2 linked regions of the Notamacropus eugenii genome follow. The protein of the gene in region 1 interacts with the protein of each later gene in a pairwise test. Links are inferred from orthologs where the notes say so. Each region holds a gene or a part of one and is shown on either strand. Other genes may lie near its edges. The genes, in order: EEF1G and ILF2.

Region 1 (15,221 bases):
TCTCTGGCCTCTAGAGCTGTGACTTCTCCTTGTCAGAGCCCTTGGCCTCCTGTCTCTTTGTCTCCCCTTCTGTCTCTCCTGAAGACTTTACTTGTCTGTGGCACCCTGGCCTCCCCCTCCACACCTCATGTCACTGCTCCATGAGCTTGCTCTCCCCAGGGTCCTCGATAGCCTTTTCTCAGTCCTTGTCCTTGTGGACATTTCTAAGGGCTTTGTATCCCAGTATCCCAGAATCTCGTCCAGGACCATTATCATGGAGATTCTTTTTTTGCTGCACTCTACTGACATCTCCCCTGAGGTATTTCTGTGGTGCTGTTGCTCCTTGTGAATCATTGTTTTCTCTAACTTTTCAGCCTGGGACCTTGGCACAGGTGTCCTGAGGGCCCACTCCCTTCCCTTCTCCATACACACTCTTCTTAGGGACTCTCTTCTGTAGCCATCTCTATGCAGATCATTCCACATCTCTTCCTGCTCCTCCTGTGTCTTCCCCCTGCCTCCTGGACCCTTTCCCTGGATCTCTTCTGTTCAATCCCAGCATGTTCTGAGCCAAGCGCATCAGTCTCCTGACCTGACTGGCCTCATCTCCCAATCTCATTTCTGCTGTCCTCCTCCTGGGCTCTCACCTCGCATTCCAGTCATGTCAATTCTGTGTCCCTTCTCTTGCCTCCCAAAGTCAGGCCCATGTCGCCCTCCCCCCAACCCAGACTCTTGTTATCTCCTCCTGACTGGTGTCTCTGCCCCCAGTCTCTTCCCTCCCTCCTCTGCCCTCCATCTTCCATCCTCCATCACACTCTCCCATCCTTCCCTCACCCCTCACACCGCCAGAATCATGCCGGGGCCCAAAGCCCTTCTGTGAGTTTTTGTTGCCTATAAAACCAAACCTGGCTTCCTTTGCCTGTCATAGCATGGCATCCCTCATCTGGCCCCTGTCTAACCCCCTTCTGGCTCCCACCGTGCTTTCCTCTTGACCTCCCCAGACTCCATGATTCTGTCTGTGCCTTTTAGGGTCAGCCCAGGAATGATCTCCCCAGGTGATACCCTAGTTGGAGGGAGAAGACCTGGGTTCAAAGGGGATCCTCATGTTTCCTTTCTGTGTGACCCATTGCAAGTCACTTAGGTTCTCTGGGCTTCAGTTTCCTCAACTCTATGTTGAGGGGCCTCCATGGCCTCTTGAAGCTCCACCCAGCTCGAACTGTGGTTTGCCTGAAGCGTTTGGTTTGGCTCTTTCCCCCATGTAGATTAAAACAGTCAGTACTTTGTTGCTGCATCCTTGGAAGCAGCACGTGCTTAATGTGTGTATTTCAGGGCCCAGCCTGGATGCCCACCTTGCAGGCAAGAAGCATCGCCGCCTTGAAGAGCTTCGAGCTGCACGCCGGGCCCAGGGCCTGCGGAGCGTGTTTGTCAGTGGTTTTCCACGTGGTGTAGATCCAGCCCAGCTCTCTGAGTACTTCCAGGCCTTTGGACCTGTGGCCAGCATTGTCATGGACAAGGACAAGGTAGTGGGGCCAGCCTGGGCAAGCCCTTGTGAGCAATCTGATGGAGGAGGGAGTAAGATCCAGGTCAGGGAGACTCTAGGGACAGGCTGGAGGAGATAGGAGATGGTGGGGCTTGGGGTTGGGCCATGGTGATTGGAGAGGAGTGTCTGAGAGCTTTTCTCTGCTGCGGCCTAACAGGGAGTGTTTGCCATTGTTGAAATGGGAGACCTGGGCACCCGGAATGCTGTCTTGTCCCAGCCTCAGCACACCCTCGGTGGCCATCGGCTACGTGTACGGCCTCGGCAGCAGAAGGAATTCCAGACCCCCGCTCCCAAATCGTCCAGAGGGGCACCGCCAGATGACCAGCAGCTGACGCAGGCTTTGGCACAGGCTCCAGATGTGGAGGCCCAGATGGTGCAGCTGGTGGGCCTTCGAGAGCTTTCTGAGGCAGAACGCCAGCTTCGGGGGCTTGTCGTGACCTTGCTGCAGGAGGTCTTCTCTGAGTTCTTCCCTGGTGAGGCTTGTCCATCCCCCTCAGACTCTCTGATCCCTAGGCCTCTAGTCAGTGCCTCCATCATGAGCACCTGTCCTGCCCATTCAGTTGTACAGCTGGCGTCTCTTTGAATGTCCCCTGATCTCGATGCTGTGCTCACCACCCAGGCTGTGTCATCCGTCCCTTTGGCTCCTCTACAAATGGCTTTGATGTTCATGGATGTGACCTTGACCTCTTCCTGGATCTAGGGGATTTGGAGGGGCCACAGGTGAGATGCTAGAGAGCCTGGTGCAGTGGGTGGGGAGAGTGGGCTTGTAGAGAACACTATGGATGAATCTCATTGGACCCTTAATGGGCCTATGGCTTTTGTGTTCCCAGTTGTTCAGATGAGGAAACTGAGTCTCAGAAATTTAAGTCATTTGCCTGTGGTCACTCAGCTAGTAGATGTTGGCAGTGGAATTTGAACCCAGATCTCTCCGGATTTTAGCCCAGCATGCTTTACTTTATACTGCTTTGCCTTAAAAAAGAAAGCCTAACTAAATAGTTATAGGGTGGGTAGATTAGGGAGGATACTACTGTGCTGTGCTGAGACTGAGCAGCTCGATCTATAGTATATGGTCTGAGGATGGGTGATGGAGGGAACCCCAAGGGATCATGGGCCCAACTTGTCTCTCCCTTACAGCAGGATCCAAAGGCCCCAGCCTCTCCAGCGTTGGACTCAGCCCTTGCTTCTCCACTAGATCCTCAAGCCTTGGCCTCCACTCCAGTTTCCCCTGTAGACTCTCAGGCCCCAGCTTCCCCCCAGGACTCTGAAACCCCCACCTCCTCCCTAGCCCCTCCGACCCCTGACTCGGCCCTAGCCTCTGAGGCCCTGGCCTCCCCACAGTCCTTGCCCCCAGTTTCACCCATCCAGGAGGAGGTGGGAGAAAGGGACTTGGGGAAGACCTGGGAACTTGGAGCACTCAAGGGGGCGGAGGGGGAGGGAGAGGCCATGCTGGAGCTTGTTGGGTCTGTCCTCCGAGGCTGTGTCCCTGGGGTGCACAGTGTCTGGGTTGTGCCCTCGGCTCGACGTCCTGTGGCCAAATTCTGCCATCGACCCTCTGGTCTTCACGGCGACATCTCCCTCAGTAACAGGTGCTTGGTGTCTTTCCCGAGGTCCTTGTTTTGTTCTGCCCCTTTTCCTTCCTGTCCTGTCACTGCTGCCCACAGCCCCATTTCAGTCAGTTCAGTATTGTTTGCATTCCAGGTAATGTCCTGGATCCTGGGGGTACAGACACAAAACAAGCTTGCTTCTGCCCCCAGGGAATCACAGATGGACAGAGAAGGAAGCAGAAAGTAACTGGAGGAGGGAAGTGGGGGGATGAGGCAGTCTCTTCTGGGGATGGTGAACCTGGGTCTCCTCCTTATCCTAGACTGGCGTTATATAATTCACGGTTCCTGAGTCTCTGTTGTGCCCTAGATGGGCGAGTACGGCCCCTGGTCTATACCCTGCGCTGTTGGGCTCAGAGACGAGGGCTGACAGGTAAGGAAGGTGGGCATGAGGAGGAGGCAGTTCCTGTGCTCCCTGGGGAGGGTGGGGGGATGGGGGAGAGGGGTAAAGGCAGGGGCTGGCACAGACTTAGGCCACGTGCAGCAGGCTGGGGGCAGTAAACAGGAGGCTCACTCAGACGCTCTCTGTGGCTACTGGTAAGCCTCAGTTTTCTGCCCAGGGAGTGGCCCTCTTCTGAGTAATTATGCGTTGACTCTCTTGGTGATCCACTTCCTGCAAACCCGGGACCCTCCTGTGCTGCCTTCCCTCACAAAGCTCACCCAGATGGCAGGTATGACATCCCAAGTCAGAGGCTCCTGACGCCCTTGCCCTTATCTTTGTCTGTAGTTGTGTCTGCCCACATCACCATCTTCCCAGTGGACAGGCAATTCTCCTGTCTTTAGTAACTGTGAGTTGTCTGGGGATCTTGGTGAGAACTGTCTCCTGGATGCTTTTCCATTGTTTCTTTGCTAGAGCTGCCCTTTCTTGTATCCCCAGGTGAGGAGGAACGGGTCGAGGTAGATGGCTGGGATTGCAGCTTCCCCCAAGAGGCATCCCGCCTGGAGCCCAGCACCAACACAGAGCCCCTTGGTAAGTGCCTGGGGACAGCCGAGGAGGAGGGGAGGAACCTGGACTTTGGTTGGAGGTGGGCTGGGTGGGACCATAGGGCCCTTGTGCTCCTAGAGGCCAGACTAGGAGCAAGAAGGGTGGGGAATCCCATCTCCAGCCCTTCCTTGGGATGGATCTGGATGGAACAGCTCATTTTCACTCAGCCTCAATTTGGCCTCCCAACAGCTGTCCTTCTGGCTCAGTTCTTTTCCTGTGTCTCTACTTGGGACCTCCGAGGCTCACTGCTATCTCTGAGGGAAGGCCAGCCACTGCCCATAGCCGAGGGTCTGCCCCCTGGTCTCTGGGGGGGCTTACGTCTTGGCCCTCTGAACCTCCAGGACCCTTTTGACCTAAGTCACAACGTGGCTGCCAACGTGACAGGCCGGGTAGCTGGTCGCCTGCAGAACTGTTGTCAGGAGTCAGCTAATTACTGCCGAAGCCTCCAGTTCCAGCGTCGGTCTCCCCGAGGCCGGGACTGGGGTTTGCTTCCTCTCCTGCAACCCAGCTCTGCCAACTCCCTGCTGTCTGTTACTCCCATTCCTCTGCCCCTTGCCCCCTTCACCCAGCTCTGTGCTGCCATTACCCAAGTGTTAGAGGAAACACTGGGGTGCCAGATAGAGCAGAGCTGCAAGAGACGGAGGCCAGAAGAAGTTGGAGATGAGAAGTGTCCCCACGGAGGACCAAGTAAAAGGCTACGAGTAGAGAGGGAGAAAGGGCAGAATGAGGAGCAACAGGCATCTGAGGGGCACCAAGGAGAGGCTGGGGTGGAAGAGATGGTGCTGGAGACTGATGGTGAGGAGAGCCAATCATCAGCCACTGGGGACCATGGGCCATCAGGGGAGCAGCTGCCGGAACTTGGGCAGCATTTAGTAGAAAGGGAAGTAAAGCAGCTAGATAACTTAGGGAGTGAAGAGGTAGAAGTAACTCAGGGGGAGAAGGAGACAGGGCCAGGGAAGGCACAGACCTGGCTCTGTACGCTCTGGCACCGGGTATGGCTTGGGCGGCGGCGGGTGCGCAGGCAGTTGCAGCAGCAAGCCAAAGGTGAAATGAACTGGCTGCAGGCAGAGGCTCTGGTGACCCAGGAGCTGATAGCCCAGGAGAGCAGGAAGCAGAGAGCAGAGCCAGAGCTGCCACGGCTGCCGCAGCCTCTCCTCACCTTCACTGCTTCCCTGAGCCCCACTGGCCAGTTTCTCACTCTCACACAGCTCCAGGATCCCCAGAGCCTGTTCCCCGATCTCCATCATTTCTTACATGGTTTCCTACCTCGAACTGTGCGGGGCATCCTAGGATGTGAGAAGGATGACTGAAGAGAGGAGGGGGCAATAAAGTGCTTTTGTATGAGCTTTGTCTCTAGGTCTTATCTTTGGGGCACTGCCCTGGGGCTGGGTTATACAGGATTTTACCAGACTATTACCTTAGGGTCTGAGCCAGAAATTTCTACCTGGGGATCTGCGGGTACATTTTATGGAGGGGTGTAACCTTGGATGGGGGAAAAGGTGCATCTTTATTATTACTTACTTGCAAGGTTTCCTTTATAATTATATGCATTTTATTCACTTAAAAAGATTCTCCTGAAACCAAAGACAGTACAGATAAGGCTTACCCAATTTCCTTAATATCAATGCAAAAATTTTTAAATACGAGCAAGGAGATTACAGCAATATATCACAAAGAACATAGGCTATGATCAGGTGGGATTTATAGTAGGAAGGCAGAGTTAGTTCAAAATTAGGAAAACTGTCAGCAAAGTTGACCATATTATGAGAGTTACAGAGCTAAAAAAAAAAACAGAACAAAAGGTCAAGAATATCAAAGGATAATTCTTTTGATGGGAAAAAACGTACAGGCAGCCTGATAGTACCAGATTTCAAACTATGTTACAAAATAGTCATAAAACAATCTGGTACTGGCTAAGAAATCAAAGTAGTGGACGATCAGTGGAATAGATGAGGTAGTTAGGAGACTGTAGTGACTAGTAATCTGATGTTTCATAACTCCAAAGCTCTAGGCTTTGGGGACAAGCATTTGCCATTTAACAAAAACTGCTGGAAAAATGAAGAGTTTGGCAGAAACAAGGCACAGGCCAATATCTCGTGCTGTATTCCATGATAAAGTCAGAAGGGATAAATAATTTAGACATACAGGATAATATGAGTAAATTAGGGGAGCATGGAAAAATGTGACTGTCAGATCTGTTGATAAAGGAGTTTATGACCAAACCAGAGATAGGCTCATGGGAATTAAAATGGATAATTTTGATAACATGAAATTAAAAAGTTTTGCACCAGCAAAACTAATAGATTAACCAAAATTCAAAAGAAAACTTGGTGAAAAATAAATAAAGGGCTGATAAAAGGGCTTCATTTCTCAAACATACGGGGAAATTAACCAGATTTATGCACAGCAGAGGCATTCCCCAGTTGATAAGTGGTCAAAGGATATGGAGCAGGCAGTTTTTAGAAGAAATCAAAGCTATTAGTAGACAAATGAAAACATGCTTTAAATCACTACTGGTTAGAGATGCACATTAAAACAACTCTGAGCTACTACCTCACATCCATCCGAATGACTAATATGAAAGAAAAGACAAATGACAAATGCTGAAAGTGATGTGGAGAAGCAGGGACGTTAATGTCATGTTGGTGGAGCTGGTCCAGTCTTTCTGGAGAACTATTTGGAACTATACCCAAAGGACTATTAAACTGTGTATGCTCTTGGACTCAAAAATACCACTGCTAGGTCTGTATACCAGAGATCAAAGAAAAGGGAAAGGAACCCATTTGTACAAAAATATTTATGACAGCATTTTTTTTGATGGTAAAGAATTGGAAGTTGAGAGGATACCCATCTGTTGGAGAATGGCTGAACAGGTTGTGGCAAACGATTGTGATGGAATAGCATTGTGCTATAAGAAACGTTGCAGGCGATGTTTCAGAAAAACCTGGAAAGACTTAAATGAACTGATGCAAAGTGAAATGAACAGAACCGGGAGAACATTGGACACAGGAACAGTAATATGGAGAGGATCAACTGTGGATGACCTAGTTATTCTCTGCAATGATCCAAGACAGTTCCGAAGGATCCATGATGAAAAATGCTATCTACCTCCAGAGAGGTGATAAATTCTGAAAGCAGATGGAGGCTGACTTAAAAAAAAAACTTTCTTAATTTCCCTTGTATTTTTTTTCTGTGTATGTTTTCTTCTGTAACATAGCTAATAAGGAAATGTTATTCCTGAGTTTATACGTGATTGTCTTCTTAAGGGCAGAAAATTTGGAACTAAATTTAAAAACATGAATACATATAAATGTAAATGAATATTTATTATATAACAATATGTATGATAAATAAGAAATAAATATGCTAATTAGAAATAAAACTTTTTTCCATGTAATTAGGAGGTATTTAACGAAGCAAATAAAAATACATTTAAAATAACAATAAAAATATGAGGCTGCATTTGAACTTGTGTCTTCTTGACCCTGGGACCAGCTATGTGTACACTCTGGCGCCTCTCGCCGCCCCCCATGCCTCAGGTTCCCCAGATGCGAGTGGAGGTGACAGGACAGGACCGCCTAGGTTCCCCGCTGCCAACAGCACGCGCTAGGAGGCGGGCGGGGGCGCGCCCAGGCAGCCTCTAAACAGGGCTAGCCAGCCGAGAGCAGCTCTGGCTCCGGCTCCACCCCTTCGGGGAGGGGCGTGGCGGGCCGGGGCGGGCCGGGGGAGGAGACTCCGAAGTGCTCCGAAGCCAACTGGCCTCTCGCGCGGGCCCTCGGCGGCGCCCTGCGCGCAGGCGCGCACCGCTTCGTTACTTCGGCCGGTGCGGGGAGGGCTCGCCCTCCTGTCGCGCGGCTCCGTTCGACGCCTTCCTCGCTTTCCGGCCGCTCTCCCCTCCCACCCGTCCCTCCCTCCCTCCCTCCCTCCCTTCCTCCCTCCCTTCCCTCCTCCCTCCTCCTCCCCTCCCCGCCCCCCCGGCCGGACTCGCTTTGCGGCAGCGCCGACGTCCCCACCCCCTTTCTCTGCGGAATCACCATGGCGGCCGGGGTAAGTTGGGCCGCCCCGGGCCCCGGGTAGCGTATCCGCCGCCATCCTTGGTCCCCCCCGCCGCCGCCCACCTCCCGGGGGGCCCCGCGGCGTGGGGGGGCCCGGCCCGAGCCGGGGCGGCCGTTGTGGGCCGCACCCGCGGCCCAGAGGCGGCGGCGGGGGGAGAAACTGAGGCTGGCCGGGGCCGCCGCCCCGGAGCCAGTGCCCGGGCCTGCTCCAGCCCCGGAGCGCTTGGAGATCCCCGCGCCTGCCCGTGCCCGTGGCCGGCCTCCGGACTGGACCCCTTGCCCTTCCTCCGGCCCGGCGCCGGAGGCTTGGCCTGGGGGCTGAGGCCGCCTGGGGCGGGAGGGCTGCCCTGGGGGGTGGGGGGCTAAGGGCAGGGGCCAGGCCGTGAGGGCCGAGGGTGATGAGCCGGGGCTGTGGCAAGGGGGGGTGTGATCGGGGTTCATGGGACTCCCCCTCCTCGTGGGTCAGGTGTGTGCTGTGGGGCCGCGTGGTCGGGGGCGCCGGAGCGGGGCTCTGACCTCAGGCGGTCTGGGGACCCCGTCGTCCTCGTGGGGGGCCCTGCCTGCCCAGTGAGCCCCGTTCGTGCTCCTTCACCGGCTGGCCCCGCGGGGCCACGCTTGTGATTCCCTTGAGCAGGGCCTTGGGGGGGATGGCTGGGAAGCCCTGCAGAGGTCCCCGCTCCGGGGGCTCCGGGGGCCCGCCTGGTGAGCTTGCGGGCTCACTGCGGGAAGCAGCCGTGTCTAAGGCTGCGGCTGTCTCCACAGACCCTGTACACGTACCCTGAGAACTGGCGGGCCTTCAAGGCCCTCATCGCTGCCCAGTACAGTGGGGCCCAGATCCGCGTGCTGTCCGCCCCTCCCCACTTCCACTTCGGTCAGACCAACCGCACCCCCGAATTCCTCCGAAAATTCCCCGCTGGCAAGGTGAGTAGGTCTTCCCCGAGCCGGAGTTCTCCAGCCTTTCCTTCACCTCCGAGGTAAATCCTGGGCTGGTCTGGGGTCGGGGCAGCGGCTCCAGTATGGTTCGCCCCCCAGGCCGCTGTACCCCCTACGCGTTCTAGGTTCTGGGGTGGGAGAAATGGGTCTGAACCTCTTGTGCTGGCTCAGCTTTGTGCTAGATTGCCCCCAGGCTGCTGGGGATGGGCTCCTTTGGTTTCTCAGGACTTAGTGTCTTCTCTGTGTCTGCTTTTGCCCCCAGGTTCCAGCTTTTGAGGGTGATGATGGGTTCTGTGTATTTGAAAGCAATGCCATTGCACACTATGGTAATTTTGGGGGGGCTCTTTGAGGGGATCAGATGGGCAGGGGCTCTAGAAGGCTGTTTGTAGTCAGTGGGAGCAGCTGTTTTTGGGATGGTGGGCTTTCTTGCAGAATGACCCTCTTCTTTCCTCCCTTCTGCAGTGAGCAATGATGACCTTCGTGGCGCGACTCCAGAGGCCGCTGCCCAAGTGATCCAGTGGGTGAGCTTTGCCGACAGTGACATCGTTCCTCCAGCTAGTACCTGGGTGTTCCCCACTCTGGGCATCATGCACCATAACAAACAGGTGAGCCCTGGGAATGGGAAGGTGGGCTGCAGGACCCTAGCCACAGGCAGCTTCAGAAAGCACAGAGCTGACCTGACTCCTGCCAGAGCAGGCATCAGCGCCCTGCCCTTCTCTGTGGTCCACCACGGACACAACCCTTACTGTTGCTTTGTGTTAGCCGTCCACCTTTCTGGGAACACTCCCTCTCAGACACCCTCCTTTCCTCCAAGATTCAATTCAGATGCCTCCTTCCTAAGGCATTTGCTGGTCCTTTGCCCTTTGCTGTGTGTATGTAGACATGTGTTGTCTTCTCCAGTAGAATATAAGCTTTTTGAGGGCACAGACTCTTTTGCCTCCAGCACCTGGCACAGTGCCTGGCAGAGGAGGTGTTTGTGCTGATTGAATGGAGGGGCTGGTGCCAGGAGAAAGCATGGTGGGAATCCCAGCTGATAGAAGGAACCCTTACATCCTCCAGACTCATGCCTTCTTTCTATAGAGAAGCTAAAGGAGGACCCCCAGAGGATGTGGTCCTTGGCATTTCTTTCTTGGTCTGTGACCACTGGGAATTAGTATAGCTGTGATGGCCAAGCTTCTCTTGTGCAGTTTTATCCAGAGATCCCCCTCCTTGAGGTTGTGCCCTCCACCCAGTCTGAGGAGAGGGAGGGAGATGTGAGCCCTGATTCTGCCTCTGTCTTGGTCAGATAATTTCCCTTCTCTGGCCTCAGTTTCCTTCCTCTGTAAGGAAGGACCAGATGACCTTGAAGATTCCCTCCAGCTCTGCATCCTATGGTTTCTAAATTGGTAGAAGTTGGCATTAGAAAGAGGCTCTAGAAGGCATTGATCGAGTGGGGCCAAGTTGTAGTGAGAGAATATAGCACTGTCAGCTGTTGGTCACTCAGCACATTTCCTCTCTTGGTGCTGACCTGCTCTCCAGCCCTGGGGCCTGTCCAGGTCACATGGTCAGGGAAGGTTCTGCAGAAGGGAGCATTTGGAAGGGCCATCTGCCTGGCCCCAAAGGGGCAAAAGTTAACCTGAGATTGAATAGAAGCAGAAGATAAGCGTCCCCAGAATGGCACATGGGGCCAAGAAGCTGTGAAGCCTGACTGGGCTGTTGTAGAAGTCAAGGTTGGGCGCCGATCAACCCAGAGTCTGAGCTGGAGCAAGCTGATGTGCCTCCAGGTCTGCTTTTGTAGAGGTGGAGCGAGGCTGGACCATAAAGGTGCCCTGAGGTCACTGTATTTCCTTGTCTCCCCCCCAGGCCACAGAGAATGCCAAGGAGGAGGTGAGGCGGGTTCTGGGGCTGCTTGATGCTCACCTGAAGACCCGGACTTTCCTGGTTGGGGAGCGTGTGACTCTGGCTGACATCACAGTTGTGTGTACCCTCTTGTGGCTCTATAAGCAGGTGAGTGGGGCAAGTAACAGAGTGGGTAAGGACAGAGGGCTGGCCCTGGCCAGGACAAGCCTGAGACATGAGGCTGCCTCCCCAGCCCAGCCCTTTTTCTACTTTCAAGGTCCCTTGGTTCCTGCAATTGCCTCCTGGTTGTTGAGACTTATGGGGGCTCTGTGTTTGCTGGGAAGGGAGATGGGGTCAATGCTTGCTAGAATCCTGCTCCCCCCCCCCCCCCCATGGGCCACACTCTTGGGTTACTTTGGGTTGAGCGGTTCCCACCCAGGGGTACCTCCCTCATTAGTGTAAGCAGGGGAGGCCTTTGTAAGGCCCAGCCAGCACTGAGCCACCTCCTGGTCTGTTCCTCCAGGTCTTAGAGCCGTCTTTCCGGCAGGCCTTTCCCAACACCAACCGCTGGTTCCTCACGTGCATCCACCAGCCCCAGTTCCGGGCGGTGTTGGGAGAGGTGAAGCTCTGCGAGAAGATGGCACAATTTGATGGTAAGTATGAAAATGTTGGTGATGGCTTTGGAAGCTTTTGCATGCCATGTCGTCCCCCTTCCTGAAGCCTAGCATGGTGACAAAGCTGGTGGTATATGTAGTATTACTTATCCGTGGCCCCCCACCTCTGCCAAAGTGGTGGAGACAGGCATCTTCTGCGGCCTTTGGAGGCATTCCTCATTGGCACTGACTGTTTTGTGCTGTTCTCCATTTTGCCTGTTGTTGATGTGTTTTCCTGCTTTCCTTATTCTGCATCTGTTCATGTGTCTTCCCATGTTTCTTCATGGTCATTTCCTAATGGTACAGTTGTGTTCCATCACTCTCATGTGCGTTTCCCCACCCAGTCCATGGGCATCAAGTTTCTGCGGTACAGAAAGGGAATTGTGGTGTAGTGGGTTCTGGTGGGTAGGGGGAGCCCAGGCTCCCACCCCCTTGCTGGCTGATTGTGAAGCCTCAGGGAATCCCCTGTTTGGCATATGGTGGGTGGGGAACTGTCATTCCTGCACTTGTGTGTCCTTATGTATTGGGGGCTCTGCATTGAGTGCACCCATTACTTACCTTAGTCATCTTGGCAGCTAGACCCTTGTCAGAGATAGTTGAAGGAAAGATTTTTCCCCTCTTGACTGTTGCTCAGTTCTTATTCATACAAAAGCCTTTAAGGTTCATATGTTCAGGACTCTCCTAGTTCTTGGAATTGGTGGTAATTGTAATCACTTCCCTTCTCATTTTTTGTGGCCTGACCTTTGACTTTCAGGCCAGCTCCCTATTAGATCTCAGTATGGCATGTGGTGTAAGGTGTTGGTCTGAATCTGATTTCTGCCAGACTGCTTTCCGCCATTCTGCCCAAATAAGCCTGAGGCATTGAGTTGAGTGGTCTTCCCCTTTGCCTTTCCCCATTGGCATCGATGACCCCTGCTTTCTAGAATAGACATTGCTGAAGCTCTGGCTGGGCACTGGGCTGGGCAGCTCCAGGTGGAGGCTCTGCCCCCGCCTGCAGTCCCTCTCTGCTCTTGGAGTCATGGTGTCTGTGTGAGAGCCACCAGAGATGGAGCTTTAGCGGGTCCCGTTTCTCCCTTTCTCTAGCTAAAAAGTTTGCTGAGAGTCAGCCTAAGAAGGAGGCCCCAAGAAAAGAGAAGGGACAGCGAGAAGAAAAACAGAAGGCCCAGGCTGAGCGGAAGGAGGAGAAGAAGGCTCCTGCAACCCCAGGCCCAGAGGAGGAGATGGACGAGTGTGACCAGGCTCTGGCTGCAGAGCCCAAGGCCAAGGATCCCTTTGCCCACCTGCCCAAGAGGTAGGAGACAGCCTGGGGCAGCCAGGCAGTTATTTAGAAGCATTTATGAAATGCTTACTGTGGGCTTCCCAGTGGGGGAGAGGGTGTGCCAGTCACTGGGTCTGCACAGGAGTCAGGCCTAGCCAAGAATCAGGAGATGTGCCTTAGTGCTGGCCATGGAGGGAGGGAGCAAGTGGGGCTTGGGCTGAGCCTCTGAGGAAGGAGGACAGTGAGAGACAGAACCTTCCAGACTGGGAAGGCAGGAAGGGATTGGGTAGTAATTGGGAGCCATGGTAGCTTACTGAGCAGGGGACTGACCTGCCTCTGGCACCTATGGTGTGGGGATGGACTGGAATCAGGAGAGATCAGGTGTTTCTTGTAGTAGTTCAGGTGAGAGGGGAAGAGAAATGTTTGGTGAGGGAGGGAGGAAGATGAGGATGAGCAGATGTCAGCCCTGGCCCGTAGCACAAAGAGGGAAAGGAGGGAGAGGCAAGTGTTTGGTGGAAAGAGCATGGCTTCTGTTCTGAATATGGTGAGTTTCAGGTGTCCGCTGGCCATTGGGCTTGGGATGTCTGAAAGGCAGTCAGACAAGTGGTAGGGGGCTGAATACGTAGAGCAGGAGGTCATGGGTATAGACATTAGCATTGAACCCCTGGGGACTGATAAGATCCCCAAGAGGAAGAGGAGGGTCCAGGTCAGAAGTGAGGTAGCTGCCCATGAGTGCTCCTGCTCCAGAGACTTGGTGAGATTGGGCTGTCCTTTGGCTCGCTGTATTGGGTGTCAATAGCACCTATGAAAACCAGCTACTGTTTCTGTCCTGTGTGGATGTGAGCATCTCACCTGGAGGAGGCAGGTGGCAGCTAACTGATCCGTAGGGGATGGATCCCAGCATTCCCCAGAGCCTGTGGGTATTGCTGATGACACTGGTTTTCCTCTTAACCCCAGAGATGGTTCTCCAGCAACTGTTGAGCCCAAAGACCCTGGGCCATTCTTTAGAGGCAGCTGGGGGCCTGGAGTTGGGGTTGGATGGACAGCCCCTCACTCCCCTGATCACTAAGTTCGAATATGTCTCCCTGGGTTTCCTGGTTCTGATCTGGGATTGTGTATGCATTGAATGGGCTAGTGGATTTTGCTCCCACAGGAGCATTTTGTGCCTCTGATGGAAGAGAGGAAGCCAAGCCATGGGATATGGACAGCTCTGGATTTGGGAGACAGGCCTCACATCCTGCAAAGGGATACATGGGGTGGACCAGGAGTTCTTAACCTTTGTTGTGTCCTGGACTCCTTGGGATGATGTATTTAAATAATTGAAGGACGCAGTGAAAATTAAGGTGTGATCTTTTTTCCATCTGTATTCTTGGGCCTCCAATACAGATACTTGGACTCAGCCAAGGTGATCTAGAAAAGTCTTTCAAGCTTTAAATCAGGGATCTCTGTCAGCATCAAAAATAAAATCCTTTTTTACTCTGACAATGGGATTTGCTCTTGCTCTGAAATGCCCTTGGCTTCCCCTTTATCCAGAGGTGTCCCAAGGTACTGTGTTAGTTAGAAAAGCTCCTGGAGGAGGCCCTCCCTGGAGCCTCCCCAGGAAGTGAAAGACAGACACAGATGTGGCTCACAGGACTATTTTTTTTCCTTAATAGGTTTTAATTGGGTTTTCTTTTTTTTACATCACCATAATTTCCCCCAGTATCCTTTCTTTCCACTGAATCAGCCAATCTTCTCACAAAGAGTTAACAAATGGTATTTTTTATCAGAGAAAAAGGAAAAATTGAGATAGAAAGTATGTGCAGGGTTGAGTGCTGTGGCCCCAGCCAGGTTCAGTCCCCATCACTTGTGATCTTGGGCTCCTACTTCCCAGTGGGCCCGTGGTCATCCTTGTTGTGGTCCTGTCCACATTCATTAGTCACATCTCCTGTCCTCCCTGCTCTTAGCTCGCACAGTAGTGCCTGACGCATTATTTTCACTTCTGAACAGACCTATGTTATGGGATAGAAACTTGGTTGTCATTGGTCAGTCCCTAACACTAAGGTGCTCTCAGGCCCCTCTAGTCCATTGTAACAAACTGACTTGCCATGCATGTGCCCTGGGGGCAGAGTGGCTTGGGATCCACTTGGGATCCCCGGTCTATGACCTATATGTAGTGGTTGGAGGATCCTGGAGATCACTGGGAGGTTGGCTGGATTTGGGTCAAGAGACCTCTCTCCATCTTCAGGTCCTTACCTTGAGACTTCCCCATTTGTTAAATGGGATAATAGTTGGTGGAGCTTGTGTGGGGACTTTGTACATCTGGGTGGTCTTAGTGTAAATACAGTCCTTTTGCCCCTCCTGGTGATTACAGAGTGGGAGGAGTGAAGGGCTTTGAAAACTCCCTAGAGAGGTCCCTGTGC
Region 2 (15,490 bases), about 360 Mb from region 1:
ATTGCTACAGCTAACATTTCTAGTACCATATTGAATAATAGTGGTAATAATGGACATCCTTGTTTCATTCCTGATCTTATTGGAAATGCATCTAGCTTGTCCCCATTGCATATAATGCTTACTGAAGGTTTTAGGTAGGTACTGCTTATTATTTTATGAAAAGTTCCATTTATTCCTATGCTCTCCAGTGTTTTCAATAGGAATGGGTGTTGTATTTTGTCAAAAGCTTTTTCTGCATCTATTGAGATAATCATGTGGTTTCTGTTAGTTTTGTTGTTGATATGATCAATAAGGCTAATAGTTTTCCTAATGTTGAACCAGCCCTGCATTCCTGGTATAAATCCTACCTGATCATAATGTATTATTCTCATGATAAGTTGCTGTATTCTTTTTGCTAATATCTTATTAAAAATTTTTGCATCTATATTCATTAGAAAAATTGGTCTATAATTTTCTTTCTCTGTTTTGGCTCTTCCTGGTTTAGGTATCAGAACCATATTTGTATCATAAAAAGAATTTGGTAGAACTCCTTCCCCAATTTTCCCAAATAGTCTATATAGTATTGGAATTAACTGTTCTTTAAATGTTTGATAGAATTTACTTGTAAATCCATCTGACCCTGGAGATTTTTTCCAAGGGAGTTCATTGATGGCTTGTTCAATTTCTTTTTCTGAGATGGGTTTGTTTAAGTATTCAACTTCCTTTTCTGTTAATCTGGGCAAATTATATTTTTTAAAAATAATCATCCATCTCATTTAGATTGTTGAATTTATGGGCATACAGCTGGGCAACGTAATTTCCAATTATTTTTTAAATTTCCTCCTCATTGGAGGTTAGTTCACCCTTTTCATTTTTGATATAGGTAATTTGGTTTTCTTCTTTCTTTCTGTGTGCTTTTCTTATGGAAATTCAGGATACAGTGGGATGGAGACCAGATGAAGGCAATGGAGTCCTCCTCTAAGAGATGGGGTAAAGGGCTTTAAATGGAGATGGATTCTTCTTCCTTGTGATAGGTAATGAAATAGTGAGGAGGCTACGCCCTGGTTGAGATGACTTCTCAAGGATCTCTCTGGCTGAAGCATTTAGGAGCTCCTGAATCTCCTTAGAATTTTTTCTTTTCTTTCACATCATGCTATCCACCTGTTTTACACACACACACACACACACACACACACACACACACACACACACACACACACATACACACACATCCCAACCCACAAGGCTCTGACCATAGAAACTTCGATTCCACATCCTTCTTGTGACAGCTTCTCCATCAGTGGCTGAACCACCACTGTCCAGTGTCTCGGTCACTGCTTGGGCATAGATCAGAAGCCCATCATAGAAGGAGGCTGCAATGGTGTTCACCTGTTGAGGAAGGGTGATGGTGAGGGATCATCCTATCTCAGAAGGCTAGGGGAGAACACTGGATAAGAACATAGTGGGGTGGTGGTGGAAAGTAGAGATCAGCAGGGACCAGGAACAGGCAGGAGACACTACCAGGGCAATAGAGGAGGAGATACCTAGATAGGTAATGGAGGGATGAGGAGCACCAGGAAGAACTGGGAGAATAGATATGGTGGCTTTGGAGTAAAAGACCAGGGAAAGTGACATGGTGGGGGAGAGGGGAGGAATGTGGAGAGTGGGCACAATGTGTAGGGGAAACAGGGCTATAATACAAATCAAATATTAAGCACTCACTGTGGGAAAGGTACTGGGCAATTCTAGACAGTTGGTATACAAAGAGATAAAAAGAAAGTCTGCTTTCAAAGAGCCTACTTGCATTCTACAGAGCACAGTGAGTAGAGCAAAAACATAGAGAAGATGAAGCAAAAGGCATTAGGATGGAAGCATGGAGCTCCTGTGGGTGGAAAGGTTGTAATGGGAAGGGCAGTGGGTATGGTGTGTGTGTGAGTTGGTCACACTAGGGCAGGGCTATGTGAGGCTGAACATGGCCTTGGGAGCCAGAATGGGGCTTCCTTACCAGCCCATCCTCCACTGTGAAGTTAAATTTCTTCTGGGCTAAATCTTTGAGCTGCTGCAGAAATTCCAGATACTCAGGATTATCAGGCTCCTTATATGTGATGATTTTAGCAGCCTGGCCATGGGGCAGGAGGAGAGGGAAAGAAGGCATTATTAGGGATACAGCTGAAAGGGCAATACTACAGGGCTCCTCATTCCCAGGGATATTGTGTTCACGCCCTTGGGTTTCTCTGTTTCTCTTTGATCAGTCTAAAGTCCTAAGTTCAGAAGCAAAGGAATAGACAGATAATTGTCCAAACTCCTGCTCACCCCAAGGCACCTCTGAACTCCAGACTTACCTCATTCCTCTAATTTGTCATTCATTTGACTCTCAAGCCCCAACTGTAGTCATCAACCCATCTCCTCTAGCAGCCATCCTCTGACTCCCTGATAACCTGTCCCAACCTCATCCCCATTCTGGAAGTATGTCAAGGACCAGAGAAGCAAAAAGAAGGATAAGCCTCCAGCATAGCATCATACAATGATAGGTAGGTTCTAACCAGGACTTTGGGGTACCCACCTGGAAGGCCTTTCGGGCAATGGCATCATACCTATCCCCCTGCTGCCATGGCCTTCCAGAGATAGGGCTACGCCCATCCTGCAGGCTCTTTCCGAAGACATCAAGGTAAAAGAAAATATAGTCTCCCTCGGTCATCCCTGCTTCCTGGGCCAGAAGCATCAGGTCTCTGAATGTGTTGGGAGAACTGCAGATATAGATGACTGTGGAAGAGGACAAGAAGGAGTCAGATGAGCAGGAGATAAGAATTTAATGGAAAAGTTTGGGGCTGAAGGAGGGGAGAGATGGGGTTAATAAGGGCCAAGAAAGAGATTCCTTTATTTTAGAGACCTGTCCTCCAGCCCCGAGGTGAGCAGTACCTCCAGGTTCAGCTTGGGCTATGGCAGGGGAAGGAGGACTGAAGAAAGACTGAGATGAAGACAATAGGAACTCTTTGACCTCCCCACTACTAAAGTAACAAAAGAAAAGGTGGGAAGGAGAAAGTGGAAATTGGAAAAGGAAAGAGAAAATTGAACCCAAGGGGAGAAGGGGGAGATAACCAGAAAGGACAGAGGGTCCAGGGAGTATAGGAAGAGAGGAAGGCTGGGTGAAAAAAAGAAAGAAAAGGGAAATGAGGAAAAGAGGGAGAGGGAGACCATAGGTGTGAGATGGACAAACTCAAGGAAGGAAGTAGAAAAGAAGACAGAAGAAATAATTCACACAGAGGACAGGAAAGATGGGGAAATGGGAAAGCAGGGGAAGAATGAGGAGTGGAAAATGGGAGGAAGTAGGGAAGAAAGAGCCGGAGAAACAGGAGCAGAACAGAAAAAGCAAAGTAAGAAAGCGGGGTGAGGAGGGCGAAGAAGGGACAGGAGAAGGGCAGGAGCCAGTGGCGGCACACTCTGGTTGGGAGACGAAGGCCCGTCTGGGTCTGGAGCTTGAGGGATCCTGAGGGTGTAGGAGTGGTGAGGTACCGGTCAAAGCCGGCCTCCCTTTCCCGAAGGGGCTCCTCCCATGGGGTCTCAGAGTACCCCCTTACTTCTGCCCTTTTGTTGCACGTCGCGCAGAAGTGCGCTATAGAGCTCCAGGTCACCCTCGGCAAACTGCAGGTAGTCCACGGTAATGTTGAGTCGAGCCCGGAGCCGAACGTACAGCCCTTCGATGGCAAAGAAGCAGGGCCGGTCGTCCCCGACTGGGGGACGGTCGTTGTAGAGCAGGAGTGTGCGGCGCTCCCAGCCCAGCTGCTGGTGCAGCGTGGCCACGAAGTCCCCGATCTTGACATGGCTCGGACCGGTGCGGGTGGTCAGGGCGTACTCATCCTTGGAGCCGAAGCCCAGCGCGGACGCCCCGGCGGTCAGCATTGGCACGTTCCAGTGCGCGGTAAAGCGGCCCACAGGCGCGGCGGAATACACGCACCCTGGTCCCAGAAACGCAGCCGGGTGGTATTCCACTTTGAGGTCCACCGCAACCAAGGGTGCCCAGCTGTCGGAGCACACCCCTTGGGGGTTCTCGCTGCTGCCCAGCTGGTACACCGCGGTCCAGCCCGGCAGCAGGTCCGACCGTTCGTTCATCCTCTTCAATGCCATCTCCACGGCCGGTCCCACGCGTGACCACGACCACGGGTACGTGGTGTTGGTCACTGGTAGGACCACGGCCACTGTCAGGTTCTTCGCCTGGCACCCCCGGAGGACGAACTGGACGAGGAAGGGGAGGAGGACGCCCGAGGGGCACTTTGGGGCGCGCATTGCCTCAGCTGGAGAGAACAGGGCAGAGAGAGCGCCCAACCACGTCCCCTCCCCTCTCCACGCTACCTCTTCCCTCTCAGTGAAGCATCGAGTCCATCTCCGGGGAGCGGGGAAGGGAGACTCCTGGGCCCCGGGTGTCCCCTCAGTCTGGGTGAGAGACAAGAGGAATTCGAAGGGGTGAGAATGAGCAGAAGGGGCAGACAGTGCTAGCGTGCCAGGGAATGAGCGTGTCTCAGAGGGAGGTTGCAGGAGGGCAGGTGGGTGAGAGGGAGAGTGGAAGAGTGCGTGCGTGCGTGCGTGTGTGTGTGTGTGTGTGTGTGTGTCTATGCTAGTGAGAGAAGTGGGAGAGATAAGAAAGGAGGGGAAAAGGGAAGGAGGAGGGGTGTGAGTGTGCGCGCTCTTGTCTGTGATCTAAGGGTGCCACTGAGGGCAGAGGGGTTGTCCAGCCAAACTCTCCGTCTGCCTTAGGGGGACTGGGAAGGACCTGGAGCCCTCCCTTCTTCCCTCTCCGACTCAATGGCAAAAGAACCAATTCCTGATCTTTAACTCCTTCCTCTCCGGAATCTGGCTGCCTCTATCTTCCTACCTCCCCGCCTTCTTCGAAGTCCCTCTAACCACTCCTACTTCTGTCTCCCCTTCCTCCCTTGGGGATCTGGTACGGGTGAGAAAGCCTTTCTAGAGGACGGGAAGTTTGTTGAGGAGGTGTTTGTTGTGTGCATGTGCCTGTGTGCTCTAACAGCTGTGTCCTCTTCCTCCTTCCCTTCCTCTTATCTTTCCCCTTCCACCTTGTAACATCTGGTGAGAGAAGCATTTGCTTACTTGAGAATCTGCTAGAATAAAATTGGAGGCGGGGGGTGGGCTAGATTTATGGGAATGATGAGTTGGAGTATGGGAAAAGGGAAAGAGGGTGAGAATTGAGCTGGGAATCAGGAGTCCAGGCTCTCCATCTGTACGCGATTTCCCCTCCAGGACTGAGCCACGGAGATGCATCACATAATTTTAGATTGTAGAGCAGCAAGGGGCCTCAGAAGCCGTCAATTCCAACAGTTGAGGAAACTGAGCCCCAGAGACGTGAAAAGACTTGCCCAAGGAACAAAGTGAGAATTTTTAGGTCGCTCGGGTTCCTAGGCTGGAGGAGAGAGATGAAGACATAGCACCCAGGACTGATGGGCACAGATCCCGCAATGTGGGAGCTTTGGTGAAGACTATTCCACGAGGGGGTCTTTGGAGGTTTCCTCCCTTCTCCGGCTGATGAAGCAAAGCTTTGGATCCTATCCCAACTCCTAGAAGATATGGCCCGAGGGCTAGCGACCGCCCGTCGGGGTTTGGGAGCCTTTGGTGGAAGAGCGAGAAGGAGGCAGGGTGGGGTGTGGGGTGTGCGACGTGACTCAGGGACTGGAGGGAGCTCAGCCTGGACTACTCGATGCAGTCCCGACAACTGTGGAGTCATTCTGCCACCCAGTGGTCAGTAGTCATCTCTGATGTTGCCGGTTCCAGCCTGGCAGGTCATCAAGAACAAATTTCCCCCGAGGTGCCCCAGGCCAGCTTCCGTTAATCATCATCATCATCATCATCATCATCATCATCATCATCATCATCATCATCATCGTCATCGTCATCATCATCACCATCACCACCACATCAACCACAACAGTAGCAGTTCTATAACCCTTTAAAGGTTTGCAAAGAACTTCACAAATATTAGTTCATATTATCTCATTTGAGCCTTATAACCACCCTGAGAGGTGAATGCTATTATTATATCCATTTTACAGATGTGGGAACTGAGATGAAAAGAAGTGAAGGTCAGATTAATTATTAATTACCCGAGGCTAATAATGAGACAATTTCTCATTCCTTTCTTTCCCCCCCTCCACTCCCCAGTTTCCCATCTCCAGCAGCTTGCCGGGCACTTCCATCTGGATGTCCCATAGACATTTCAAAGTTGATCTATTCAAATCAGAACTCGTTTTCTTTCCCCTAAACCCTCTTTTCCTTATAACTTCCCTTTTTCTGTTAAGGGCATCACCCAGGTTCACAATCTTGACTCTCCACTTTCTCTTGCGTAATCAGTTTTGTAGATTTCATTAGCGTGTCTTTTGCCTGTCTCCTTCCGTCCACTCACATGGTTAGCTCCCTCATTTCCTCTCATCGGAACTATTTCAAGAGCTTCTTAACTGGTGTCTCTGCATGCAGGCAACCTCCCTCCTCCACAATCCGTCCTCCACACAGCTGCCAAATGGTTATTAGCCAAACCCAGTTGTGAAGAAACTTCAATGGCTCCCGTTACCTCTGAGATAAAACACCAACTTTTCTGCTTGTCGTTTAAGGCCTCTTACAAGCTGACTCCAACCCAGCTGGCCGGGCTTCTGAAGCTTTACTTTCCCTGTTGTCGCCCCCTCCCATCCAACAGCGTTATTTATTTGCTTTATAAATGTCACCTCAAGCTCTCTCCCTTTAAGGTTCAGTTAAGAGCTGCCTCGTCCAAGAAGCCATTCCTGAATGCCCCAGTTGTTATTCCTCCACTATTATTACTTTGCATTTGTTAAAGAATATTTGTATTTACTTATTTGTAAGTAAATTAAGTCTCTTACTAAATTAAGTCAAGTAAGTCTCCCCTCAATCCCCTCCCCCCCAAGTCTCCCACCTCGTAGAGTATAAGTTGTTGAGGTCAGGGACGGCTTCATTTTTGTTTTCATATCATATCCTCAACTAGTGCAGTGCTTGGCACGCAGTAGGTGCTTAATAAATGCTAGTTAAAATGAATTCTTTGCTCAGCCTATTCGACACCTTCGTTTATTCCTGTTGCTTCAGTTTCCCTTCGAATCTTCCATTTCTTCACAATTTGCCTTGAGATTCCACTTTTTTTCTGTTTAAATCCTGAAACTTCTGGGACTCAGTCTTCCCCCTTTTTTATCTCTGGTTTTCATTTTCCTCTGCTTCTAATTCTCATACTCACGCGTATTAAATTCGGGCAAACAACGTATGTTACAATTTATGTTTGAAATTATCCCTTTTCTTCTAGCAAAGTAGCGCTGGTTGAATAAGGTGAATGGAAAAATTTGTGGTTGGAATCGAAAAGTGTTGTTAGCAGAGGATGGTTTCGATCCATCGACCTCTGGGTTATGGGCCCAGCACGCTTCCGCTGCGCCACTCTGCTAGCTATCGCCAGCCTTGGCTAAATCCTATATAAAGAATGTAGAACTTGTCTGGCGTGTGCGTCAATACTACGTGAGCCTTTCCGCAGCGCCTCCTGTCGAACGTTCTACATACAAGTAGCTCCAGTCGCTGCTTTTCGTTAGGTCGCTTCTCATTGGCTGTTTTCCAGTACCGCAGGCTCTCCCAATGGCTGATAATTCTGTTCGACCGAGGAGACCAATGGGTGTGGATGACGGCATGACGCAGCAGCCAATAGTGACTGGTCTTATTGGAACGTGCCGGCAAGCGGCCTCTCCGGTTGTTGGCTTCTCAGAGGAAGGGGCGGTTGGCGGGGCCTCCATTGTTCAAGACTGTGGGAACCATGAGGTGAGGTGCCGCGGGGCTCCAGGGGAGACCTGGAGCGGGGGATGAGGACCAAGGCCGGAGGCAGTGAGGCCAGAGCACCAGGCAGCTGGAGGGACCGGGTGTCCAGGAGTTGGCTGAATCCCAAGATCCCTTAGGCCGAGTGGGGGAGGGATGACTCCAGTATTTTGTGGGAGGGGGTGGAGAAATCCAGGGGAGCTCCTACCTCATCTCGGGGGACAGGGAAGGCAGAGAGCCTGGAGTCCTTGCCTCCGGTGACACTTCTTACCTGGAAGCCTGTCCTGAGTTCTTCGCGTTCATTCTGTCTGTCTCTTCAAGTTACCTTGTACGGCAGTAATAGAAATTGAGATCTCATTTAAGCTAAATGTAAAAGAGTTGGGAATAAACCTACCATAACGCAGAATACTTACGTACAGATTCAGTTACAGCCTGCTCAGAGACAGAAAGCACAACTCAGATAGCTGGAGGGACATTCAGTGCTCATGGATGGGCCCTGCCAATGTAACAAAAATACGACCAAAGTGAATTTACAGATTTAATTCTGTACCAGTCAAGCTATCTGTGCCCCCATTCACTGTGAAGCGAATGTAAGTTCCTTGAGGGCCAGAGATGCCTCCATCCTCAGCACCTAGACCCGGAGCAGGGAAATTCTTGCACCCACGATTTCCTTTCTGTGGTAGGGAATTCCCAATAAGGCATTTCCCCTGCTAATGCAGGATGCCACCTATTAGTTTTAGAGTTGCCTAGGGCAGTGAAGAAGGTGAGTTCCATAGGCTACTGGGTTACCCAACCAGTATGTATCTCAGGCAGGACTTGGATCCAGGTCATTCTACCATCTTTATTTACTTAGGCTAGGTACCTCTGCATTAATAAATGTTTTTTGAGCAGTGTAATGCAGAATTATTACATATACCACCAGATGCTGGGGTTGTGTTGATCAAGTTTGTATAACTTTTCTCTTTTAATTTTCTCTTAATGCTGTCCGGGATAGGGGAAGCAGGAGGGATGTATTCAGTAATAAGCATGATGTAAAAACAAAAGATATCAATAAAAAAGATTTTTGAAAATAAATTCTTGTGGAGTTGAATGTTTGAGAGGTTGGGTAAGCAGTTCCCATTGAATTAAGTTGAATCGTAACAGGGGGAAAAAGAAACTGGGTGGGAAAAGGTTTGGATCAACCTATGGTGAGGATGTTATTGGTTTCTTCACTCTGTGTAACAACTGCTTGTCTTATTTATAGGGGTGATAGAGGCCGTGGTCGTGGAGGGCGCTTTGGCTCCAGGGGAGGACCAGGAGGAGGGTTAGTACCACCTTTGAGTGCCAGATGGGGTGTATGTCTTCCACCACCTGATTATTTTTTTAGTCCAAGGCCTCTTGCAATAGAGGATTTGGAGTGGGTAAATATTGCTTGCTTTTTATGAGGCCGTATTCTGGCTGAGACAGCTCTTCCCATGTGCTCTTTCTTGACATCTCATGTTTATCCCCTTTTCTGTACTCATTCAGATTGCCTCTATCCAGGTCCTTACCACATCTTCCCCAGATGATTTTAATAGCCTCATAATTGGTATCCCCACTTCTGGTCTCTTTACTTTGTCATCTGCAGCTTCCATATTGATATTCCTAATTTACAGATCTGACCATGTGACTCCCCTATCCAAAAATCTTTAATATCTCCATGTGCCGCTAGGATAAAATGCAAATTCTGCTTTGGTATTTAAAGCCCTCCACAATCTGGTTGTCTCTAGGCTTTCCTATCTTATTTCATAATACTCCTTTTTACTCTCTCCCTTTTCTACTCCAGTTAGCCTGCTAGCCATTCACTATATATAACACTTCATTTCCTGCCTCTGTGCCTTTGCACAGGTGGTTTCCTATGTCTGGAATGTTCTCTCTTTTTACCTCTACTTCTTAGAATCCCTAACTTCTTTCAGAGTTAAATTCAAGGGCTACTTTTTTGGGTCTTTCCTGATCCCTGTTTCTTCCTCTCTCTAGTTGTTAATATCTTCTCCCTTCTTTATATAATTTTTGATTTTACTTGAGTACATGTTGTCATTCTTTTCCCCAACTCCCCTTCTCTGGTGAGACTATAAGATATATGAAGGTGGGGATGGTTTAGCAAGTACCTACTATGGTATCTTGCACATGTGCTTAATATTTGCTGAATTGTTCCTTCAGTGAGTTGATTTTTGCTTCCATTCCCGCCATGCGGAGAGAGATAACCTCAGATGACTTTGCCACCAGTTTAGAGCAGTAGTTGTTTACAAAGGTCTCTGATAACTACAGAGATGTTAGCTCATTAACTACATTTGTATGATAATACATATCCTGGAAACTTCAAACTAATGTAGGTGGGTGGGTGTGAAGCTAGTATAAATTTTTAATATCTCCTACTAAGTCTTCACACAATGTTACCAATGCTCTGAGCATTTAATGTTTAATCTTATCACAATAAGGTTGTGTAGGTGGACAGTGCTAGATGCCACATAGAAATTAAGAATCTTAAGTTCTGTATTCCTAACACTTGCTCTTTATTTTTTAACAATCTGCAGAATTTGGTATTTATTCAAGTGTGGATATGATAACATGTCATGATAAAGGAATAGACTTAACTTTTACTGAGTAGCAAAAATGAATCTTTTTCTTATTTAAACCTTACTGATGCCTTCTTTACTTTACATATGCTTTCTTTTTGTAGTTGTATCAGAAAGTCTAGTCCTCCTGGTTAGGGGAAATGACTTTCTTTTCTTTCTTTTTTTTTTAAGGTTCAGGCCATTCGTGCCACACATTCCATTTGATTTCTATGTGGTGAGTTTGGTACTTTGATTGAACTTGGGTCTTCCACTTTTGCTATTATAATTGTAGGGGCAGGGCCATGGTCCTCTGATGTATAGTCACAAATTCATTTGAATAAATATGGTTTTTTGGGAAGGGTTTTGAGGTCCACTTTTATTTCTTTTCACACAGAAAGAGGCTATGCAGGGTGAGAAGATGTAACTTTGGTTGTTATTGGCAGAAATTCATGATACTGTCACTTTTGTTTTTGACTTTCTGGATACCTTAAGTTTTCTTTTCCTTGATAAGATGTCATGATATTTTGGAAGAGACAGTTGTTGACTTTGTATAAAATATTACTATAGAATTTTACTGCCTTTATGGCTTTTGTATGTCTGGTAGAATATAACTCCTCAGGATTTTTGTCGCGTATAGTTTGTATCTCTGTAGCAATTATTGTGATTCTTATTATCATTTCAACTCCTTTCTGGTTCAGTGTGAAATGGCATTTCCCCGAGTCAAACCTGCACCTGATGAAACCACTTTCAGTGAGGCATTGCTAAAGAGGAATCAGGACCTTGCTCCCAACTCTGCTGAACAGGTTTGTTCTATGGATATTCTCGATGTTTTCCCCTGATAGTTTACGATGAATAGCTGAAGATGGTGTTGGGAGTAGTTGCAGAGACTTACACTTGGTTGTTCCTCAACTTTCTCATTTTGGGTGGAAGAAGGTATTGAGAAGAAGTGAATTTGATTTTCCTGAAGCATAGGTCCAACTATATCTCTTCCCTACTCAGTAGTAACTCTGTTGCCTCTAGAATCAAATATAAGTTCTGTTTAGCCTTTAAAATACTTCAGAATGTGGCCCCAACCCATCTTATTTACCTTAATTGTACATTACTCTTTTTACACTCTATAGTCCAGCCAAACTGAAATTGCTATACCTTCTATAACAATTGAATCTTGATCCAGACCCCAAAGTAACAAGTTTTTATTAAGTCTTGATACCTGGTATTGTCACTCATAATGTTTAGTTCAGTTGTTCAGGTGCTGTTGACACCCTTTTGGTGATTTTTTTTAACCTTGGGCTTTTATATTTCATGTTAATTTTCAGGCATCCATCCTTTCTCTGGTAACAAAAATCAACAATGTGATTGACAACCTGATTGTGGCTCCAGGAACCTTTGAGGTGGTAAGTTTTTGTTGACTGAGTCTCAGGAGGAAGATAGCCTTACATCTGTAATAGTTTCCTTGGGCCTCTTTTCACTTTATAGCTAGTTTTTATATAGGGTTTTACATATGTTACTTCATTTGATCACAGCAATAATAGGTGATATTATTCCCTCTTTACAGATAAGGAAATTAAGGCCAAGATAGCTTAAAGTGATTTGCCCAGGTTCACATAGCTAGTAAATGTCTGAGGTAGGATTTAAGTCAGGTTTTCCTGATTTCAAGTCCTACACAATTCATTTATACCACCTAACTGCCTCTAAGGAAAATACAGTGGAATTTCTTTAATGTTCTTGGTGTTGATTACCATAGTTTTTATTTGTAATGTGGATGTGTTTTTTGCTTTTAAGATAGCATATCTTAATCTTGCTAATAGTAGGTTATGTAATACGTATAACATAATACTATGTAAAAAAAAAAAAAGACTGAAATTAGAACTTTTTTTCTCTCTATACTTTTGTGATTTCAACAGCTTTTTTCTGTTGATGTTAACTCCTCTCCCCTTTTCAACAGCAAATTGAAGAGGTCCGGCAAGTAGGATCTTACAAGAAAGGGACGATGACCACAGGGCATAATGTGGCTGATCTGGTAGTGATCCTGAAAATCCTGCCAACATGTGGGTGACAAGCTTTCTTGGTCCTGGGAGCCAGCTCGGGCTGGGTTTGAGGCATTGGGGGTTTAAGGTCCAAATTGCCAGGAGAGATAATTTGAGGAAAGAGAGAGACCTGGGGAGGTGGAGGGGGAAAAAGGAAGTTGTGATTAATTTGGAGATAGATTTAGGGTATCAGAAATGTTGTAAAGTTACTAACTGAAAAAAAAGAGCTTGGACGTAAAAATGATAATGGAATTTGGGAAATGTAATTGTGTATGGATGGGGGATGAAGGCTGGAATGTTTTGAGCTGTGAATTTATTGCTTTTCTTTTCAGGACTAGAATTTTCTGCAATGTTAGATAATTCTTGCAATATTACAAAGATAAATCCTTGTTTTCTAGGCATGGTACATAAGTAGAGTGCTAGGTGATCTGTAGAAATAACAGGTAGTGGTATTAGAGGGGTATTTATTTTCTACTTTCTTTTGTCTAGTGGAAGCTGTTGCAGCCTTGGGGAACAAAGTGGTAGAAAGTCTTAGAGCACAGGATCCTGCAGAAGGTTTGGCTTTATTATATAATATATATTGAATTCTTATTGGTGCTGAGTACTGTATGGAATGCATGTACGGATCATTCAGATTGGGCAAACAAAACCATCAGTAAGGGATGGCTGTTTCTCAGAGGCTGTGAAAATTGATTCCCTGGCCCAACCAACTTTAAGCTCTTTGTTCTAAGTTCTTGTTCTGAACTCTACCACAGAATTACTTGAAAAGATGATTTTTTTTTCCATCCCCAGGCTCCTCTCCTCCAATACCTTGCCCATGTGATAGACTGTTTCATTTGTTTTGTTTCTTCAGTTTTGACTATGCTGACCAATGAAACTGGCTTTGAAATCAGTTCTGCTGATGCCACAGTGAAGATTCTCATTACAACAGTGCCACCTAATCTTCGAAAGCTGGACCCAGAACTACATTGTAAGTCAAGCTCCTCCTTGGCCAGGGAATTTTGTGACCTAGAAGCATTGGGTACAAGTGAGCTTGCTGTTTGCTGTTCAGCATGCTCAATACTATGTTCTCTTTAATTGGTGTTTGACTCATCCTGTGACTGAAGAAGTCACTAGATTTCTTACATGACTTGTAAATCCTGAATAAGTATACCTACCCCCTGGGGAGATTTTAGAAGTGAGAATTTCTATGAGAGTGGTTTGAAGGCTGAATAGGAAAAGTAATAAAGTAAATTTGTGGAAAACTTTATACTTTAGAGTGTACAGTAGCCATCTTGCTCCCAAGGTTGAGAAATCAAGGTGTGAGCACTGAGATGCCTTTTTTTTTTCCCAGTGACTTAAGTTTTGTGACAGTGAATTAGGTTGCTTACAGGACAGTGTTTATTTAAGATGTCAGCCTGATATTTCTTTTTCTTTTCCAGTGGACATCAAGGTTCTGCAGAGTGCTTTGGCGGCCATTCGGCATGCTCGTTGGTTTGAAGAGAATGCTTCTCAGTCTACGTAAGTCACCCAGTCAATGAGGTCACCTCAATTCTTTTGTCATTTCTGTATCAGCAGTGACACAGGGGATGGTAGAGATCCCTCACATTGACTCATTTTCTCCCCAGTTCTTCTCTAGGCATTTGTCATTTTTACTTTATGCAACATAAGAAAAATGAGACTTGTAGTTAACTTCCTTAAATCTTGTATCTAGCATTTAAAAGGTTAGGGTCCAATTTATTGGCCCTTCTGACCTGGGGTTCTTTTCCCCCTTAGGGTGAAAGTTCTCATCCGTCTACTGAAGGACTTGAGGATTCGGTTCCCTGGCTTTGAACCTCTCACTCCTTGGATCCTTGACCTTTTGGTAGGTGAAGGAAGGGGCAACTAGGTTTTCAAATTTATACACACTTGTTAGGAGTGATGAGATTAGAGTTGGGAAGATCAGAATGTGACTACTACTTCATATATTATGTGACCTTTGTCAAGTTACTCCACTCTCTTAACCAGTTTCCTCATTTGTAAGATGGTGATAATAACAGTACCTACCTTATAGGGTTGTTGTTAGGATCAAATGTGATCATGTATGTATGAATATAAAGCATTTTTTGCAACTTTAAGGATTATATAAATGGTAGGTATTTATCATGTGCAAAGTGCTATGCTAGTACACTGTGGGGAAAGCATAGCTTTTAGATAAGACACACCTTCCTCCAGAGAGCTTAGCATCTATAGAACATGACACCACCTCAGAGAAGTACAGTACAGGAGGGCTCTGAAGTAGGTATTCATTCTAGACCAGGGTGGGTGCATCTGAGAGAAGAGAGGTGGCAGGCTCTAGAGGGGAGCTTTAAAAAATGTTAAGGATGTATTCTAGGCATCGAGAACTGCAGCCTAAGCAAAATGAAAGAGCGAGCACGGTGTGTTCAGGGGCAGAGTGATCATGGGTGGCTAGTCTAGAAAGCATGGAGGGAAGTAACATGAGAGAAGACTAGAGGTAGAGTTGCCAGATGGTGTAATGTGGGATGCCCATGCCAAGGAGTCTGAACTTGACTCAGAAGGGACTAGGGAACAACAAAAGTGATGGCTGAAGTTCTGTGTATTTATTGAGACTAGTAACTTTGAAAGCCATCAGATTCTGAAAAAACGAGTTGAGATTTAAGTCAGAGAGTGGAGAAGTAAATTAAAATTATGATCCATTATTGATATTATTGTGGACAAAAGAGGCATAAATAATCCTTGCCTTCAGGGCATAACTCCTAGTAAAATACATTTGAGAAAGATTCTTTCTACTCATGATTTGTCTCCCATATTGCACTATGATGATTTTAGATTAAAGGTAAATTTATCGGTTTGGTTCTCCAGGTCTTTCCTATTAAGTGTTTTGTCTTTTCCAGGGCCACTATGCTGTGATGAACAACCCTACCAGACAACCATTGGCCCTCAATGTGGCTTACAGGTACAGAGTTTGCTCTTAGGAGCTATTCTGATTTCCTTAGAGTGATGACCTATCTTTGCTGACTCTTAACACCTTCCCTTATGTCCTAGGCGATGCCTTCAGATTCTGGCTGCTGGGTTGTTTCTTCCTGGTTCAGTAGGGATTACTGACCCCTGTGAAAGTGGTAACTTCCG

What was found.
Region 2: the proteins of EEF1G (region 1) and ILF2 interact in a two-hybrid assay, tested with the Homo sapiens proteins (2 studies listed by BioGRID and IntAct). The two-hybrid records come from large-scale screens. The link is inferred for Notamacropus eugenii from reciprocal best matches to the Homo sapiens genes EEF1G and ILF2.

The regions. Positions count from the first base shown.
Region 1 is NC_092873.1:15,701,741-15,716,961, reverse strand, and holds the start of EEF1G (elongation factor 1-gamma), read left to right. Parts: upstream 1-7,920; 5' UTR 7,921-8,137; coding exon 8,138-8,149; intron 8,150-8,919; coding exon 8,920-9,078; intron 9,079-9,352; coding exon 9,353-9,416; intron 9,417-9,552; coding exon 9,553-9,695; intron 9,696-10,932; coding exon 10,933-11,076; intron 11,077-11,431; coding exon 11,432-11,561; intron 11,562-12,644; coding exon 12,645-12,852; intron 12,853-15,221. Other genes in the region: TUT1 (speckle targeted PIP5K1A-regulated poly(A) polymerase), read left to right, coding at 1,306-1,496, 1,674-1,989, 2,136-2,236, 2,651-3,102, 3,381-3,490, 3,678-3,788, 3,995-4,087, 4,292-5,412. UniProt on the Homo sapiens protein: Probably plays a role in anchoring the complex to other cellular components.
Region 2 is NC_092873.1:377,643,949-377,659,438, reverse strand, and holds the start of ILF2 (interleukin enhancer-binding factor 2), read left to right. Parts: upstream 1-7,680; 5' UTR 7,681-7,783; coding exon 7,784-7,788; intron 7,789-9,025; coding exon 9,026-9,085; intron 9,086-10,547; coding exon 10,548-10,590; intron 10,591-11,053; coding exon 11,054-11,158; intron 11,159-11,671; coding exon 11,672-11,749; intron 11,750-12,300; coding exon 12,301-12,403; intron 12,404-12,871; coding exon 12,872-12,937; intron 12,938-13,235; coding exon 13,236-13,352; intron 13,353-13,803; coding exon 13,804-13,882; intron 13,883-14,137; coding exon 14,138-14,225; intron 14,226-15,255; coding exon 15,256-15,317; intron 15,318-15,406; coding exon 15,407-15,490. Other genes in the region: NPR1 (atrial natriuretic peptide receptor 1), read right to left, coding at 1,233-1,368, 1,985-2,098, 2,543-2,742, 3,558-4,263. UniProt on the Homo sapiens protein: Chromatin-interacting protein that forms a stable heterodimer with interleukin enhancer-binding factor 3/ILF3 and plays a role in several biological processes including transcription, innate immunity or cell growth.